2 linked regions of the Mytilus edulis genome follow. The protein of the gene in region 1 purifies or fractionates together with the protein of each later gene. This does not show direct contact. Links are inferred from orthologs where the notes say so. Each region holds a gene or a part of one and is shown on either strand. Other genes may lie near its edges.

Region 1 (7,975 bases):
GCAGAGGTTGAACCCTGAACGGTTAGGGCAAGTATGGACACAACATTCAAGCTGGATTCAGCTCTAAATTTGGATTGTGATTAAATAGTTGACACAGCATAGGTTTCTGACACAGAATGAATGTGTTCTAATGAACTTAAAATTTTTGTTTCTCTTAGAGCAATTCACTATGCTGTTGAATATTAATCCTCTCAAAAAAATGTTTGAAGAAATTTTCATTTTTATTTATGAAATTTCAAATGAGAAAAATTGAACCCATTTTTTTTAATCACATCCCCCTTTCCCTTATTCCAAAACTAATCTCAATTAAAATTTCTAATGGAGTTTGCAACAATAACTACTCATTTAAATACATCATAAAATATTAAGATGTAAAAAAACTGCTTGTTATCACTGAATGGTAAAGATTATTTTAATTTATCAGTTGGTAGTAAAAAGTGAATATACATTGTATATTGTATATAACAAAGATTTAAGTTGATTCTGGACAAAGAAAGATAACTCCAATTAAAAAAAAATCTTGCTATTGCACAATATTTTGCAATTAGATATTTCTTGCTTACTATTCTGGACAAAGAAAGATAACTCTAATTAAAAAAAAAATTTGCTATTTCACAATATTTGTGCAATTAGATATTTCTTGCCATTGCGCAATACTGTGCAATTGAAAAGACTTGCTATTGCACAATACTTAATATAATAATTTTAGATCCTGATTTGGACCAACTTGAAAACTGGGCCCATAATAAAAAATCTAAGTACATTTTTGGATTCAGCATATCAAAGAACTTCAAGATTTCAATTTTTGTTAAAATCAGACTAAGTTTAATTTTGGACCCTTTGGACTTTAGTGTAGACCAATTTGAAAACAGGACCAAAAATGAAGAATCTACATACACAGTTAGATTTGGTATATCAAAGAACCCCATTTATTCAATTTTTGATGAAATCAAACAAAGTTTAATTTTGGACCCCGATTTGGACCAACTTGAAAACTGGGCCAATAATCAAGAATCTAAGTACATTTTTAGATTCAGCATATCAAAGAACCTAACTGATTCATTTTTTGTCAAAATCAAACTAAGTTTAATTTTGGACCCTTTGGACCTTAATGTAGACCAATTTGAAAACGGGACCAAAAGTTAAGAATCTACATACACAGTCATGACAGTTAGATTCAGCATATCAAAGAACCCCAATTATTCAATTTTGATGAAATCAAACAAAAGTTTAATTTTGGACCCTTTGGGCCCCTTATTATGTTGGGACCAAAACTCCCAAAATCAAACCCAACCTTTCTTTTATGGTCATAAACCTTGTGTTTAAATTTCATAGATTTCTATTTACTTATACTAACGTTATGGTGCAAAAACCAAGAAAAATGCTTATTTGGGTCCCTTTTTGGCCCCTAATTCCTAAACTGTTGGGACCTAAACTCCCAAAATCAATACCAACCTTCCTTTTGTAGTCATTAACATTGTGTTTAAATTTCATTGATTTCTATTTACTTAAACTAATGTTATTGTGCGAAAACCAAGAATAATGCTTATTTGGGCCCTTTTTTGGCCCCTAATTCCTAAACTGTTGAGACCAAAACTCCCAAAATCAATCCCAACCGTTCTTTTGTGGTCATAAACCTTGTGTCAAAATTTCATAGATTTCTATTAACTTAAACTAAAGTTATAGTGCGAAAACCAAGAAAATGCTTATTTGGGCCCTTTTTGGCCCCTAATTCCTAAAATGTTGGGACCAAAACTCCCAAAATCAATACAAACCTTCCTTTTGTGGTCATAAACCTTGTGTTAAAATTTCATAGGTTTCCATTCACTTTTACTAAAGTTAGAGTGCGAAAACTAAAAGTATTCGGACGCCGGACGACGACGACGACGACGACGACGACGACGACGACGACGACGCCGACATGATATTTTTTCAAAATTTGCGGTCGTATAAAAATGGTATACTCAGTTTTAATAGGGGAAGTCAAATATTAGAGGTTGGTGTGTTTTATATTTTAAAAAAGAATTGTAAGTTATTCCTGTTATCGTGAAAGATTTGGAAATTGGAACTAGAAAAAAGTATTTCAGTAACAGTCTACCTTATTTTCCTTCTGTTTCTTTACAGTTAACAATCTTTTCTGTACAAAAGCAGATGTGATGCCAGTATTCAGGGAAGATAAAACTGTGGTCACCTGCTTCAACTCTTTTTCAACATTCCTGAAATAATAATTGACACAATTGTATACATAAATATCATATTTTCAAAATTTCAGGTACTGCTAATATTATTTCAATATTCTGTACATCCATTATAATGAATATGTATTATCACAGATGCATTACCTTTATAAATATATAATTATTACAGTTTGTGTGCATAAAATCTGTCTTATTCAACAAAGTGTTGTGCAAATTTTTCTGTTTAAAAAAATGTTTAGAACCATATGGAAATTTCATTCACTGATTCAGATTAACTTCTTGTTACCCATTTTGTTTGTCTTGCTAACTTACTTTATGTCAAATTCAACAGCCCTAAGATCTTTCTCTAAAACTTTTTTGTTCCTGTCTTCCTCTTCCTTTGCTAACACCTCTCCTACTTGTGCCATAACACCTGAAGTAAAAAATATAATTCACAGAAACATCTACATTTATATTTACTTACATTTTCATATACCGGTATTTCAATTTTCAAAGATTTCCCAAAATCCTTTTGTCAATCTGATGAATTATAAACAAGAACCAAACATATCTCTATGAGTTCCATATAAGAAAAAAAAATATCCATTCTTGATGCCAAAAAATAAAGCAATAATTTGATTTTACATGCAAATACCTTCTTCAAAATCCTCTTGGTTAAATACATCTAGTCCTAAGTTTTTAAGTTCATCAAAAGCTTGGTCATCTAACTGTGCAACAGGTATTAAATCTCTGTTGACATGGAAGCTTTTAGCTTTCTCTTTCTCTATTGGATCTTGATGCTGATCTGTCTCCATGGCTGATGGCTCATCTAAATCTCCAGAAATAATTTTCTTATCCATATTGGATATCTGTATATTATATAAAATCTGTAAAATAAAAAAGAATGAACTGAATAAACATTTTATCTGATACAAAAGATGCTATGATAACTAAAACTCCTGATAGTTTAAGTGTTTTGAATTTTAGGATAATTTAGGTTAAGTTGAACAAAAGTGTCTTTTATTTTGCAAAATTTCATCTTTTAAATATTCGAAGAGTTCTACTATGTGTGAACTTTTTTAAACTGTTATTGCTTTTTAATAAGTATGAACCTTTTACACCTTAAAATTGTATATGTTATTTGAATTTCCAATTTTGCTTTTGGATGCAAAACGAATGTTAGTACTTGATTTCTTAGTCCCATTTTGTTTATTTTAGTGCCATTTTTTTTTTGCTATAAATTGTCAAACTATAATGAAGCGGTACCCTGAAACCAGTCAGCAGCGGCAGCTCATCATGAGTAACAGAACTATAAAATGATTAATATATGGCACTGAAAGTAGTTACCTTGATTTTTAAATTGACAGGCTAGTTCTTTTATTTTCTGTATTTGTTTTAGTAGATTTATTTAATATAGAAGAGAAAAGTATCTTTTGTTTTTTACATTATTTGCTAGTTAAAATATTTAGACGTAGAAGATTTTTTTGAAGTCATGATCAGTGCACACACATTTCAGGTTACATAGAGGGTGGTAAAGGGTTAATTTTTCATGCAATGCTTTCAGCCTTTTCACTTCACATGTTTTCCTGTTTGACGTTTTATTTCTTGTTTTTTCATGTTTTTCTTAATTTATTTTCTGTGTTTTGTGTCAGCATGGTTAGTATTCTTAATTTCTCGTGCTTATCCCGCAATTGATTAAAAAGTAAACCCCTGACTAATTGAAATTCAGCCTGGACATTGTTTTGAATAAACTAATTAGCTGGGTCCCAAGATATTTATTGCTCTCTTTATTAATAGCCTATTGTTTTACTTAGAATAATATCTTTTCAAATCGGACGCTAAGTCTCAGAGGTAACCACAGGGTCTTCATGTCCATTAACTATGAATGTTTGATCTCCAAGAACAGCCAAGTAATACCTTTTGGTACTTTTTTCGTTTTTCTCCAATATTTTTCCGTGGAACGTTTTTGTGATTTTTATTTCACATGTTTCGGCACCTTTACATCCCTCTACATAAGTTCTGTGTAGCTTTTATTTGACACACCTAATTACAATTTAAACACATAGGCCTATATTTTCTGATAAGTTTAACAGTAAAATGTATCTAAAACATAACAACAAAAGATAAACTGCAACTGGTTAAAATTATTAAACTGAATGAAAACATTTTATTACAAAGACCGATCTTTAATCTCTTAATTACCAATTATTTGATCTCAAAGTAATCAATTTACTCAGAGATTTTATAAACAGACTTATCCCATCACTAACATCAGCACATTTTGAAAAACATTACACAACTTCATCTCCATGTCCTAAGGGGCATGATTTTATATTTTATTACACTCTGAAATAATGCTATTCTAATAATATTCGATGTCTCAAAAATAAATGAAACTTTTTAGATGCAATGAAGTTGTACTTAAAGAGTTGATAAATTTTGAAATAGATAATTAAATTGATTTATTTACAAGGATAGAAGCACCGGAAGTTCATTTTGTAAACAACAACAATGGCGACTGTACAGGTTCTATGTCCAAACGGAAGACGACAAAATGTGAAAATTACACCAAATACTAAGTTGCTACAGGTATGAGGACCATATAGAATTCAAAAACTGATTATGTTCATAGTAAATTAGTGGTCTTTTTCAAATGTCAGTCTTTCCAACGCACACATTTAGTCATTTACAAATTGCAAGTCATGCACATTTTTTTCGGACACCGCACCGGTAAAAGTAAAAAAGTAAAACAAAATTACCGAACTGCATGGTTTCCTAAAAAAGAGAAAGTATATTAAAACCAAATCAATCGTTGTCAACCAGAAACGAGTGAAAATACAACTCTCATATTTCTAAGTTGGTACAATCATAATTTTCCTAAAGCTATGACACATCTATTCAGCGCCACCATATGCAATTTGGTCAAATAGTAGGTAATCTGTGATCGTCCTTCGACAGTTGAATGATATTTTGAACATTGTGGTGCTGTTGTGTGTTGTGGGACAAAAATTGGACATGAACCTTTTTTGATCTACGATTTTTTGTTGTGTCAACTGTCTTGTGGCTGTCTTGAGAGTGTCTTACCAAAGTCTTACCACTGTTGTGCGATAAACACATTGTCCTGGGTACCAATATAAACCATTTTATTAAAACAATTGTAAGACTGTCGCAAAACTGTCGTACAGCAATCTCACGACTGTTGCAAGCCGGTCTCACTAATTAGCGACAAGAAGAATTATTTTAGTGACAAGAAGCGACAAGAAACTATTTTAAGCGACAAGAAAATATTTTTTTTTTTATTAAAATTACTTATTCCGAATAAATATTAAAAGAATATGCAAAAGAAAACAATTTTAGCGACAAGAAATTTAATATTGATAAAAAAAAAATTAAAACATTTATTTACATGATATTTTATCATTTATTATGTTTAACAGCAAGTATTACGTTTACCCTGTCGTATTAGGATATTACTTTTACCAGAGCCATGTATACACATATGTCTCAGCTTTTACTTGTGTTTTAAAACAATAATATATATTTATCTTATAATTTTTTTTTAAAACTCTCTTTGTACAATATATATAATAAACTTTCAGAAAATACAGACACAAATTGTGAAATACAAATAACTGAAATCAAACAAGAGGAAAAGAAAATTAAAATGTGAATATTTTTCATCATTTTATTTTGTTTATTGCCTCATTACACGATATTTATCATGTTTATGTATATTGATTGAAGATTAAAGGAAATTAATGACAATCTTGAGTTTTCAATAGGTGTTCACTATTTACAATGATTGTATATTCTGACGCGTGTACAAAGTTGAAGGTGTTAATTGGATGTTATTGTGGCAATAAAACAAGGAACACGTGCCTCGATTTCTTCATCTATTAATAAAAAAATATCAATTTATTTCTGCTTGTATATTTAAAAAAAAAATGCATATTTCTTTATATTTAATAATAAAAATGTTTTCTTGTTGCTAAATAGTCTTCTTGTCGCTTCTTGTCGCTAAAATTATTCTTCTTGACGCTTCTTGTCACTAATTAGTGAGACCCTTGCAAGCCAACCGTGATACAGTCGCTGTCACACAATTGTCTCACGAATACCAAATTTTGTATGATGCTCACAAAACATTGATTGTCTGTCTTAAGACAGTAGTAAGTTCGTCTTGCAACATATTTTTATTTTTATTTAGAAGAATACAACTTGGCGGGAATAAATGTTTGGAAAAAATATACCGTCTGCCATATAAAGAGGATGGCTATTCCACCAGAACGATAATGCTTGGCCCTGCTGAATAGGCCCCTTGCCGGACTCCAACAAGAGCAAAATATGGTCCTGTTATTGTTGATTTAAGCCTGTTAACAGTGTAGAAAACACCGAATGCATCATCAAGGGTCGACTGTGAGGCTGCTGCACCCCTCTTGAGTCTGGACTGAAGCTGACCAATGGTCCATGACCCTGCGCTATATGGCCACAGGGAACAGTTACAGCAGCCTAATATTCTCCTTTCGTGTCCCCACAACACCATCTCAGGGTTCATTCCGAAGGTTGCGCAGGCTATCATTGATGAATATCTTGGCGAGACGATGCAGACCCCAAGCACACCATGGATGGTGTCAAGTGGCAGACAGATTTTGAGCTCGCAGGAATTATCCCCATGGCAAACATGTGGCTATCAAGGCATCAAAGAACATCAGAACCAAGCACTACATTTACAAGGGTTACTTTTCTATAGTCCTGCTTTGAGTGGTCGACAGTAGCTACAAGTTTCTGTGAGCAGACGTTGGGGCAGAGGGATCTGCATTGGATGCAGGCATTTTCAACAATGGCCCACTAAGAGGTGACCTTGAAGAAAAACGACTGGGCTTCCCTGAACCTCTTCCTGGTGATGCCATATGTTTCCATATCCAAGTAGCCCTGTACTTCATGACATGAGGGTCATTGACGCTCTTCTGAAACTCTCTCTTTATATGTCGTAGGAGGTCTACATGCTTTTGTACCTCTTGCCTATCCTGATCCCTGTAACAAAAGGAAAACATATCAAAACGCATTTCACACACTGGAATAACATTTGAATTTTATACGACCGCAAATATTAAAAAAAATTTAGTCGTTTATTGGTATCACGTCTTCGCCGTCGTCGTTAGCGTTTTTCGAAGACGGATTGTTTCCGGATAATAACTTTTGATTAAGTTACCGAAATCAATAAAATTTTAACACAATGTTTATAACCACAAAAGGAAGCTTGGGATTGATTTTGGGGGTTATGGTCCTTAATAGTTTAGGAATTAGGGGCCAAAAAGGGGGCCCAAAATAATCATTTTTGTAGTGGATGAATCTCTCTGAAATTATACCACAAGTTTCTATACCATGAAGGGATGGTTTGGTATTGACTTTTGGGGGTTATGGCTCAAAATGTTTCGGAATTAGGGGCAAAAAAGGGGAAAAACTAGGTATTTCTGGTCAATGGACAATTAAGACATTTTAAAAGCAGTGTAAGGGAGGTAATTCTAAAACATTTAACATACAATGTTGGGTATGTTCAAATTTACCTCCCTTACACTACTTGTATATTATGTATAAAGAAATGTCAGGTTTTGGACTAATTGCCAAAAAAGGGGGAGGGAAGGTTACAGTTTTCAAATATTTTTTTTCAAATTCTCAAATTCCAAATTTTTGAAAAGAAATCTTTAATTGCACAATATTGCGTAATAGATTTGGAAGATCTTGACATTTGTTTTGTGTCAGAAACTCATATCATGTCAATTTTTTTTATCGCAATCCAA
Region 2 (8,543 bases), about 30 Mb from region 1:
CAATTTCAGATTAATGTATAACAATAAATTAGAACTTATTCCATTATCATGAAGGCAACATTCTGATCGAATTAAGTACCATAATAATGAAGAGAGGGAAGAATGAGGATCAGTATATAAGACACCTTTGTTCCCCTTTGCAAAGGTTCAAAGGTAATATGTTGCGTTTTTACTTTGCATCAATTCTCCAAATGGAACTTTGTAACTGGTTAATAAGTTCTGTTGGAACTTTTGGGCTAGTTTGTTAGTTCTGGTTTTGACTTATTTGCCAAAGAGGAACTTTGTGGCTAGATGATGTTCCTTTTGACTTTTGTAATCAGTATCTTGGTTTCCCTTTGAAATGTTCAAATATATGTATAATATGATACGCTTTTACTTTGTATCACTTCTCCAAATGAAACTTTGTGACTGGTTGGAACTTTTGGGCTAGTTTGTGAGTTCCGGTTTTGACTAATTTGGCAAAAAAGAACTTTCGAACTAGTTGATATGTTACTTTTGAACTTTTCAACTAGTCACTTTGTTATGGTGGAACTTTTAAACCAGAGGAAGAACAAAGCAACTAGTTAATAAGTTCCTTCGGAACTTTTCGGCTACTAAGTTCTTTCCGCCAGGAACTTTCCAACATTGAAACAAAAGAGCATATATACTCACCTTGTTTAGGAAGTCTGCAACAGACTCTGAGGATTTAGCTTCTACTCTCTTAGTACCATGCTCAGGAGACTGAATACGAACAACCTACCACAAAAAGTAGAACTTATTTATCATAGTTTGTTATAATTGCACAGAAATTAAAGATCATGTGACTGTTCATTAATAACGTTAGAGTACATGTAGTAATTCAACCTAATACAAACTAATACAAAAAGAAAAGATTAAACTGATCATAAAAGCAAAATGAAATTTAAGTTTTTAGTTTCAATACATGGTTTATAAACATGTACATGTAGGAAGCAATACTAATAAATTCAATAAAGTAATAAAATTGCATTAATATTAACGGACTCATACATGTCAACAAAATATAAATCATAACCTTTACACTAAAATTATTTACAAAAGGAGTGTTTTGTGTTCATCTATAAGCTGAAAAAAAATTTACGTGGCAAATTGGGCGTTATGTCATGTAAATGTTCTGAAATGAAGTCAAAATGTGCATGACATTTGCATAGTTTGTATTTTGTTGTAAAAGGACTTGAAATATCTGCCTATGGACAACGCTTTTATAACGCCATAATCAAATTGTGTCTTGAGAAGTACATCATCAGTATGATATTGTTCTAGTTTATGTCATTATGATATATTTCTATTATGAATTACAAACTACGTTGAACCATAAACGTCAAAATCATTCAATCGCGTAGTGGAATGTGTGGATTCTTATAAATTCTGTATATATATAACTTTTGGACTATATTCAATCTCGGTCTATTTCTGATATTTATTCTTACATACTTTTGATTTTTTAACCCTATATGCTAACATTGCCTATGTAAATTTTAAAATTGTTTGCATGCACAATGAACGACAAATTTATGTGACGTATAAAAAAAATTTCTGACATCAGACACACAAATCAATGAATGTGTTTGTAGATAGATGTTTTAGAGTTCTGTTAAATTGTCCCTTTTAAAATTGCTATACGATGATGACTGATGTACCCATATTTTGACTATTTTATTTATTGTGTCTGTTTAGTTTACACATCAATGTAAATATAACGGAATTTGACAAGACTGTCATCAAAGTGAGAGGGTTAGCCCTATAAAACCAGGTTTAATCCACCATTTTCTACATTTGAAAATGCCTGTACCAAGTCAGAAATATGACAGTTCTTGTCCATTCGTTTTTTATGCGTTTTGTTATTTGATTTTGCCATGTGATTATGGACTTTCAGAATTGATTTTCCTCTAGCTAAGTTCAGTATTTTTGTGATCTTACTTTTTTCATATACATGTATGTAAGGGTAATGTAAGTATTTTCCCAGTCATAATTCTAAATGTATAAATTAATTAAACCTTATTCTATAGCCATCATACTATCAGGAATCTGATGTACAGTAGTTGTCGTTTGTTTTATGTAATTCATACCTGTTTCTCGTTTTTTATATGGATTACTGATTAGACCGTTGGTTTTCCCATTTGAATGGTTTTACAGTAGTAATTTTTGGGCCCTTTATAGCTAATTGTTTCATGTGAGCCAAGGCTCTGTGTTAAAGGCTGTACATTGACCTATAATGGTTTACTTTTATAAATTGTCATTTGGATGGAGAGTTGTCTCATTGACACTCACACCACATCTTCCAATATCTAATCATTATTCTAGTGCAACAACGTTTGTAACGTTCATTTTGATTGGATTATGGATAGCATCACTTATTTACATGGCATCAATTGACAATTGATGCTATGGGATGTATGCGCAAGTGCAGACAGCATATGACAGATTTTAAATACATGTTTAAACGTTGTTTTCTGTCAGTTTCATTAGAATGGAGATAACAATATTGTATTTTAGGCTCCAACAGCATCAATTGGGGATTTGATGGTCGCAAATACCAGTTTACTGTCTCCGCTAACGCATGGCCAGTAAACTTAATTTGCGACCATCAAATCCCCAATTGATGCCATCGGAGCTTAAAATACCATACAGTTATCTCCTAAATATCCAGTTATTTTGTTATTCTATTTAGTTCAAAATATCATATATATATTGTATTGTACTTTGTTTAGTAATTACAATGATATTCTGCTTAGTAATAGGTGCTGTGATTGGCACCATAAAATATCTTGTATACAGAATTGTTCAGTTTCAGTTTCTGGGAATCATATTTTAGGAAAAAACCTACAACACGACCGCCACCTATCACATTTGTTTCACAAACATAACATATGATATATTCCATTGTGATGTGATAACATACCGATGAAATATTTTTTTCTGGATTTAAAAAAGAGCATTTATAAACGGATTTAATCATAAAATATATGAATATCTGATTGGTATTTAGAGCCCTATAAATTTTGTCTCTATTGTTTTTATAACATCGTGCTTAACTTACAATTGGCTTATGCTTGGAACTAGCCATTTTTGTTGTGTATTTCAGAGGAATAGTTTTGAAAATGAAAATATTAGTAATTTTCTACAAATAACTATTAGCAGACAGCTGACTTGCAAAAGCTGAATTTGTTCACCTGCGTCAACAAAACGCTTTATAGTATAATTCATAAACCAGTGAATGCTAAACACAGTTATGATTTAGAAGTCATATTTTGTTCGAAACTGTCGCACTTGCAGGAACAAGTTAGTTTTCGGTATCAAAATATGAAGTTAAACACATAACTTTTATTGTTACATAATCAAGGAAATTTGTATATGATATATCTTATTTTAGACAATTTCATAAAAACGACTTCCGGAACCATGGAAAATATGTAAACAACATGGCTACTGTAAAGACATTTGATGTCACTGCAGGTGTGTATATTTTTAACTTAATATCATTTGCTTTGTTAAGTTTCAGCAGAATTAAACTGTCTGATGATAATCTTCAGAAGATTCATGTTTTACCTAGTTAAACCAATAAGGTTGTCAATTGAGTGTTATTGTTTTCTCTTTCATTGACTTCATATATCATATTTGATTTAATTTTGATATATTCCTACTTTATTTTCCAATCCGTTATATCTGGAATCATGTCTTACCTGAAAAGATCAACAATTTCAAATCTGTTCTAGTTACTCCGCTTTTGCCAATTGTTAGATATTCTCCGTTAACGGATTTTGATTTGTGTTCAGTCATGTTCACTCCACCTTTTAGTTTCTTAAAAGTGAATTATTTTTCTAAGTCATTATGGAAGAAGTAGGCTAAGATCCAAAAAAATTTAATCGAACCTTTTCACCCATTTTCTCAATATGCGTTGGAAGTGACGATGCCTACATTTTAGTCACGTGGTGATGGAAGTCACATGACAGATACAACTGAAAACCCTTTAATGGAAGTGCCGTATCGGAATAGGTTATTTTTTTTACTTGTGTCTTTCACTGGAAAAGATCATCAATTACGCACTCGCATTATGACATTATTTATCAAATAGAAGGTGTGACTGTCTCCCTGCACTATTAAAGTTTCAAGCATCTTCAGGATTGTCATTCTGTAGGGTAGTCTAGAAATTATTCATGTTCTGTAAGTACATAATCTAAATTTCTATACAACTGCAGAGAGGGTGACTAACTAATTAGATTTTGATTTCCTGAATATTTTGGGCAGTACAGCATCAAATTATTTACCTATTAGTATCCCAATACATTATGTACATGTATGTGTTTGAAGTGATGATGCCTACATTTTGATCACATGGGAATGAAAGTCACATATAAGGGATACATGTACATGTATAACCAAATATTGTATTTTGGAACTGGTGTATATACAAATGTATGAAACTTTCTTTAATAAATTATTTCTGAATTCTCTGTACTAAAATAAACAAAAATAAATATCATGTTGAAATACCCTGGCAAAAAAAGTGAGGACTTGTTATTTTGTGAAAATATACATTGTAGGTTTCAATATGGTGACTAACCACCAAAGCCAATTAAATACATGTAGTACTTAGGAATTTAGTTTGTAACTTACAGTAGAATATAGTATAGGGCACATATCACCATGGTCACTATTTTTGGCAGTTAATGTAACATTTTCCACACCAAGATCTCAATACATTATGAACATAGTTATCAACAGTCATGATCATCTACAATGTACATCTACATTTTTTGTACATTGTTGAAATGGAAAGTCATTCAATATGGTGCTCATTAAAAACATATTTACAGGTGAAATTTAAAATGATATTACATGTTTTCCTGATTTTTCCTGAAACAAGTTCACCTATATCTTTGGTATAAAATATGAAGAGAGCTGTTTGAAGTAAATATAAAACTTATAAATAAAATAATATTGCAGAAACCTGTTTTATTTGTCTTTTTTTACAGTTACTGGATTGCCTCCAAAACCGAATCATATGATACCAAAGTTTCATAACAGAAGTAACCTTTTTCCATCAACATTCACAAATAAATTATATGAAGAAAAGCAAATCACCACTAGTCAAAGACAAGCATGGTCTGCTGATCCTCGTAAAAGATCACAAATAGAAAGTATTTGTGTAGACACTAAGAATAATTTGGATGTAAGTAAAACTACAGTAAAGCAAGAAAAAAGTGCTCCACGCAGAAGACCTTTCAGTGCTAAAGCCAGATTAGAGAGTTTATCATCGAAGCCACCAAGAACAAAACATGCACGTGACAATGTATCAGTGGAGCCTGTTCATGGTTCATCAAGAAACACATGCATGGAACTGGTACCAGTTGGTGGTAAAGAGGTACCAGTAGTTGACATTGGAGACAATGCACCATATCCTACTTATCATTATTTATTGAATTCTAAAGAAAAATATGTGTCAGATGATACAAAACCTTTTCTCCCTGGTTTGGCTGACAATAGAGTTCCTCCACTGACCCTTAACCACGCATCAGAGGCTCCAGTCTTAATCACAGCTGGTCCATCAATAAAACCTATGGTACATGGTCTAAATTCTCATCAGGTTATTTTTGGGACAGACAATGATGGACAACCACAAGATATTAAATATGATCTTAGAAAACCATCAGTTTTGATAAAACAAGAAAGGTTTGTATGAAATTGTTAAAATGATCACATAATAGCTCTGCTGTTTAGATCAAATTGTACTGCAGTGGTCTGTTTTAAAGTTATTAAGATTTATACTTGAGTTGCTTTCCCATTGGATCACTTGAACAGCTACATGTATACGTTAGATAACAGATAATACATACCAATACAACTGACTGAATGTTATAGCATATTCATTGTTATGATTGTTAAGGATAGAAATTGATATGATGGCGAAAACCCTTGTGATATTTTTTCTAGCTGTTTTATTTTGTGGTTTGTCATCAAGTTTAACTATCATATACATTGATTAGTGTTAAGTACAATGTAATACAAATTTGATCCTATTACATAAATAACATTTGAAAATATTGTGCCTTGGTAAAATAAAAATAAAATGATCAACTTAAAATAGAAAATCTGTTTTTTTTAATAATTGTTTTTATAAGTCATACATTGTATATGCCAATAGTTATATCAAATGATTCAAAGTTACTTAATTTAAGAGGAGTACAATAAATTATGAATGATACATTTTGCCAGGATTATTAGTTTGCAGTCAGTGATTTATGAATGTTTCTAATTTTTCATCTACATAGAGAACTTGCAGTCAATGTACAGGTCATTCTGTGTTATAACATTTTGAGTGACTTCATTGCTTTACTAAAGTACTGTAATTGAATAAATTGACTGATTTTCATCTGAACTTTGTATGCCAAGTTATTACTTCACACATTATTTGATGAAAGTATCTGTTTGAGAGAAATTTATAGGAAGGTACATGTATATATTACTTGTTATAAATGAATATATATGACTCTGGACAAAGATTACAGTCTGTTATATTCTAATGATTTATAAACAGCAAAATCTACTCGCATTATACAAAGATAAAATAATCACAATTTAGCAAAGAAAAATTACATACTCAATGATATACAGCTGGGTTGAAAATCTATTAAATATTTACAGCCACAGAGGGTAAAAATCAGTTAATCAATTCATAGAATTTTGCCTAATTTTGTTTAAACTTCATGTATTAAAATATTAGATGTCAGTAGCAAAAATGAGAAAACGTAACAAGTGGAAGGATACCATATTGACTTGGCTTTGTAACTTTTTTTCAAAGTAATAATATACATATGTGTATGTGTTGGTCAGGTTATAAGTTTTTAGTGATTATATAGAATGCTTGCAATAATAGTGAAATTATGTGACAGCTTTTGCAGATTTTATTGGAAAGGGTGTGAGTTATCTCCCATGTAAAACTCAAATTTTAAGTCGAAGATAACCTCAGGTATATTTTAATATCTTGCATAGTTATTCAGTATTCTCAACATAGTGCAGCAGATTCTATTGTGTTGGAAAGAGAAATAAATAAATAAATGAGGGGGGGACAAAAATGTGTAATACTCATATAGCTAAATTGTGTTTAATTTATGACAACTTTTCAACTCATTATTTAATACTCGTTATTAAACATACAAATAGAAATTTCACTTGATTTCATAAATGAAATGCATTATTATTTGCATTATGAACCGCTACTTCATGGATATTCATTACAATAGTTCAATCATTTATACTGCTCATGTAGAATTAGGAATTTATTTATTCTCATTTTGTGTTTTTGCTAAGTTGACTCAAACTTAAGAATAAACATTTGCACTAAAATTGTTTAATACTGCAACAATATGATTGACTTTTAGACCTTTGCCATCAACATTAGAACCTTTAAGGTCTTGGTTAACAGAGGATAAGAGTATACCAGGCATCAATGACTGCTTGATATTTCTACCAGCCATGGACAATTATAAAGATTTGCCAGAGGTACCTCCACCACACAGTGTTCAAGATGATCTACCATTCACATCAAAACTACCACCACAGCAAGCAGTAAGTTTTTACATCTCTCTTTGTTTTAACTGTAGAAATGAGAACAGTATCTCATCTTGGATATATAAACTCTCAATTGGCATGCAATTAGAATTACAGAGCAACTGTTGATGGCGACAGGTTAAGCCTTTCTCATTGTTACACATTGCCTATGAGTTTTCCACTGTGAGATAAGTTCTGTTCTATTAAGGTCATAGGCATGATACAAGAATTACAGAATACTTAAGGGAGATAATTGATAATTATCACCACTTACCTAGGAATATTTTCAGTTGCTCTGTAATTCTTGTATCATGCCTAGCCCTATGACCTTACTTATATCACAGCAGAAAACTCATAAAGACCTCTTAGGATATAAGCTTTTTTGCTTATTTGGTGCATTTAGTTGTCAAATAGATTTACAATGTGACTCACTGCTATAGTACGTAGAAAAACGGAAAAACAGATAATTTGTTCATTTCTATTTGCAAAACCTATATATTTGATAATCTCCTTGTATATGAATTTTAAACTCTTTTACATGTTTTAAGTATAGGGTAAATTTAAAAAAGCAGACAATTTTCTATGATGGCAATTTAATATTTGAAATTGAGAATGGAAATGGGGAATGTGCCAAAGAGACAACAACCCGACCATAGAAAAAAACAACAGCAGAAGGTCACCAACAGGTCTTCAATGTGTATATTCCCAGTTCGCAAACTAAATTAGCAAAATTTTTAAATACATTTGTACTACATGTATCTTAAATCTCATTTACAGAATTTATGTGAGCAAAACATCCACCAAAATGTAGTTTAAAAAAAAATAAAAAAAATACACAGACTCAAGTTAAACAATACTAAATTCCAAAATATCAAAGAATGTTTGTATCTTTAGTTTAGTGATTAGCCTTCTTTGTGGTTTCCTTTTGAACTTTCAAACTTATAATAGCAGTTAGGATTGCATTAAATGTCTAA

Evidence for each region.
Region 2: the proteins of tether containing UBX domain for GLUT4-like (region 1) and nuclear protein localization protein 4 homolog purify together in Homo sapiens (affinity purification with mass spectrometry; 3 studies listed by BioGRID and IntAct, with this or other methods). This does not show direct contact. The link is inferred for Mytilus edulis from reciprocal best matches to the Homo sapiens genes ASPSCR1 and NPLOC4.

The regions. Positions count from the first base shown.
Region 1 is NC_092352.1:39,218,363-39,226,337, forward strand, and holds the start of tether containing UBX domain for GLUT4-like, read left to right. Parts: upstream 1-4,633; 5' UTR 4,634-4,688; coding exon 4,689-4,766; intron 4,767-7,975. Other genes in the region: DNA excision repair protein ERCC-6-like, read right to left, coding at 2,099-2,216, 2,511-2,610, 2,833-3,037. UniProt on the Homo sapiens protein: Tethering protein that sequesters GLUT4-containing vesicles in the cytoplasm in the absence of insulin. Modulates the amount of GLUT4 that is available at the cell surface. Enhances VCP methylation catalyzed by VCPKMT.
Region 2 is NC_092352.1:9,702,945-9,711,487, reverse strand, and holds the start of nuclear protein localization protein 4 homolog, read right to left. Parts: upstream 3,208-8,543; 5' UTR 3,086-3,207; coding exon 3,059-3,085; intron 736-3,058; coding exon 652-735; intron 1-651. Other genes in the region: uncharacterized protein, read left to right, coding at 3,441-3,474, 4,995-5,691, 7,401-7,587. UniProt on the Homo sapiens protein: The ternary complex containing UFD1, VCP and NPLOC4 binds ubiquitinated proteins and is necessary for the export of misfolded proteins from the ER to the cytoplasm, where they are degraded by the proteasome.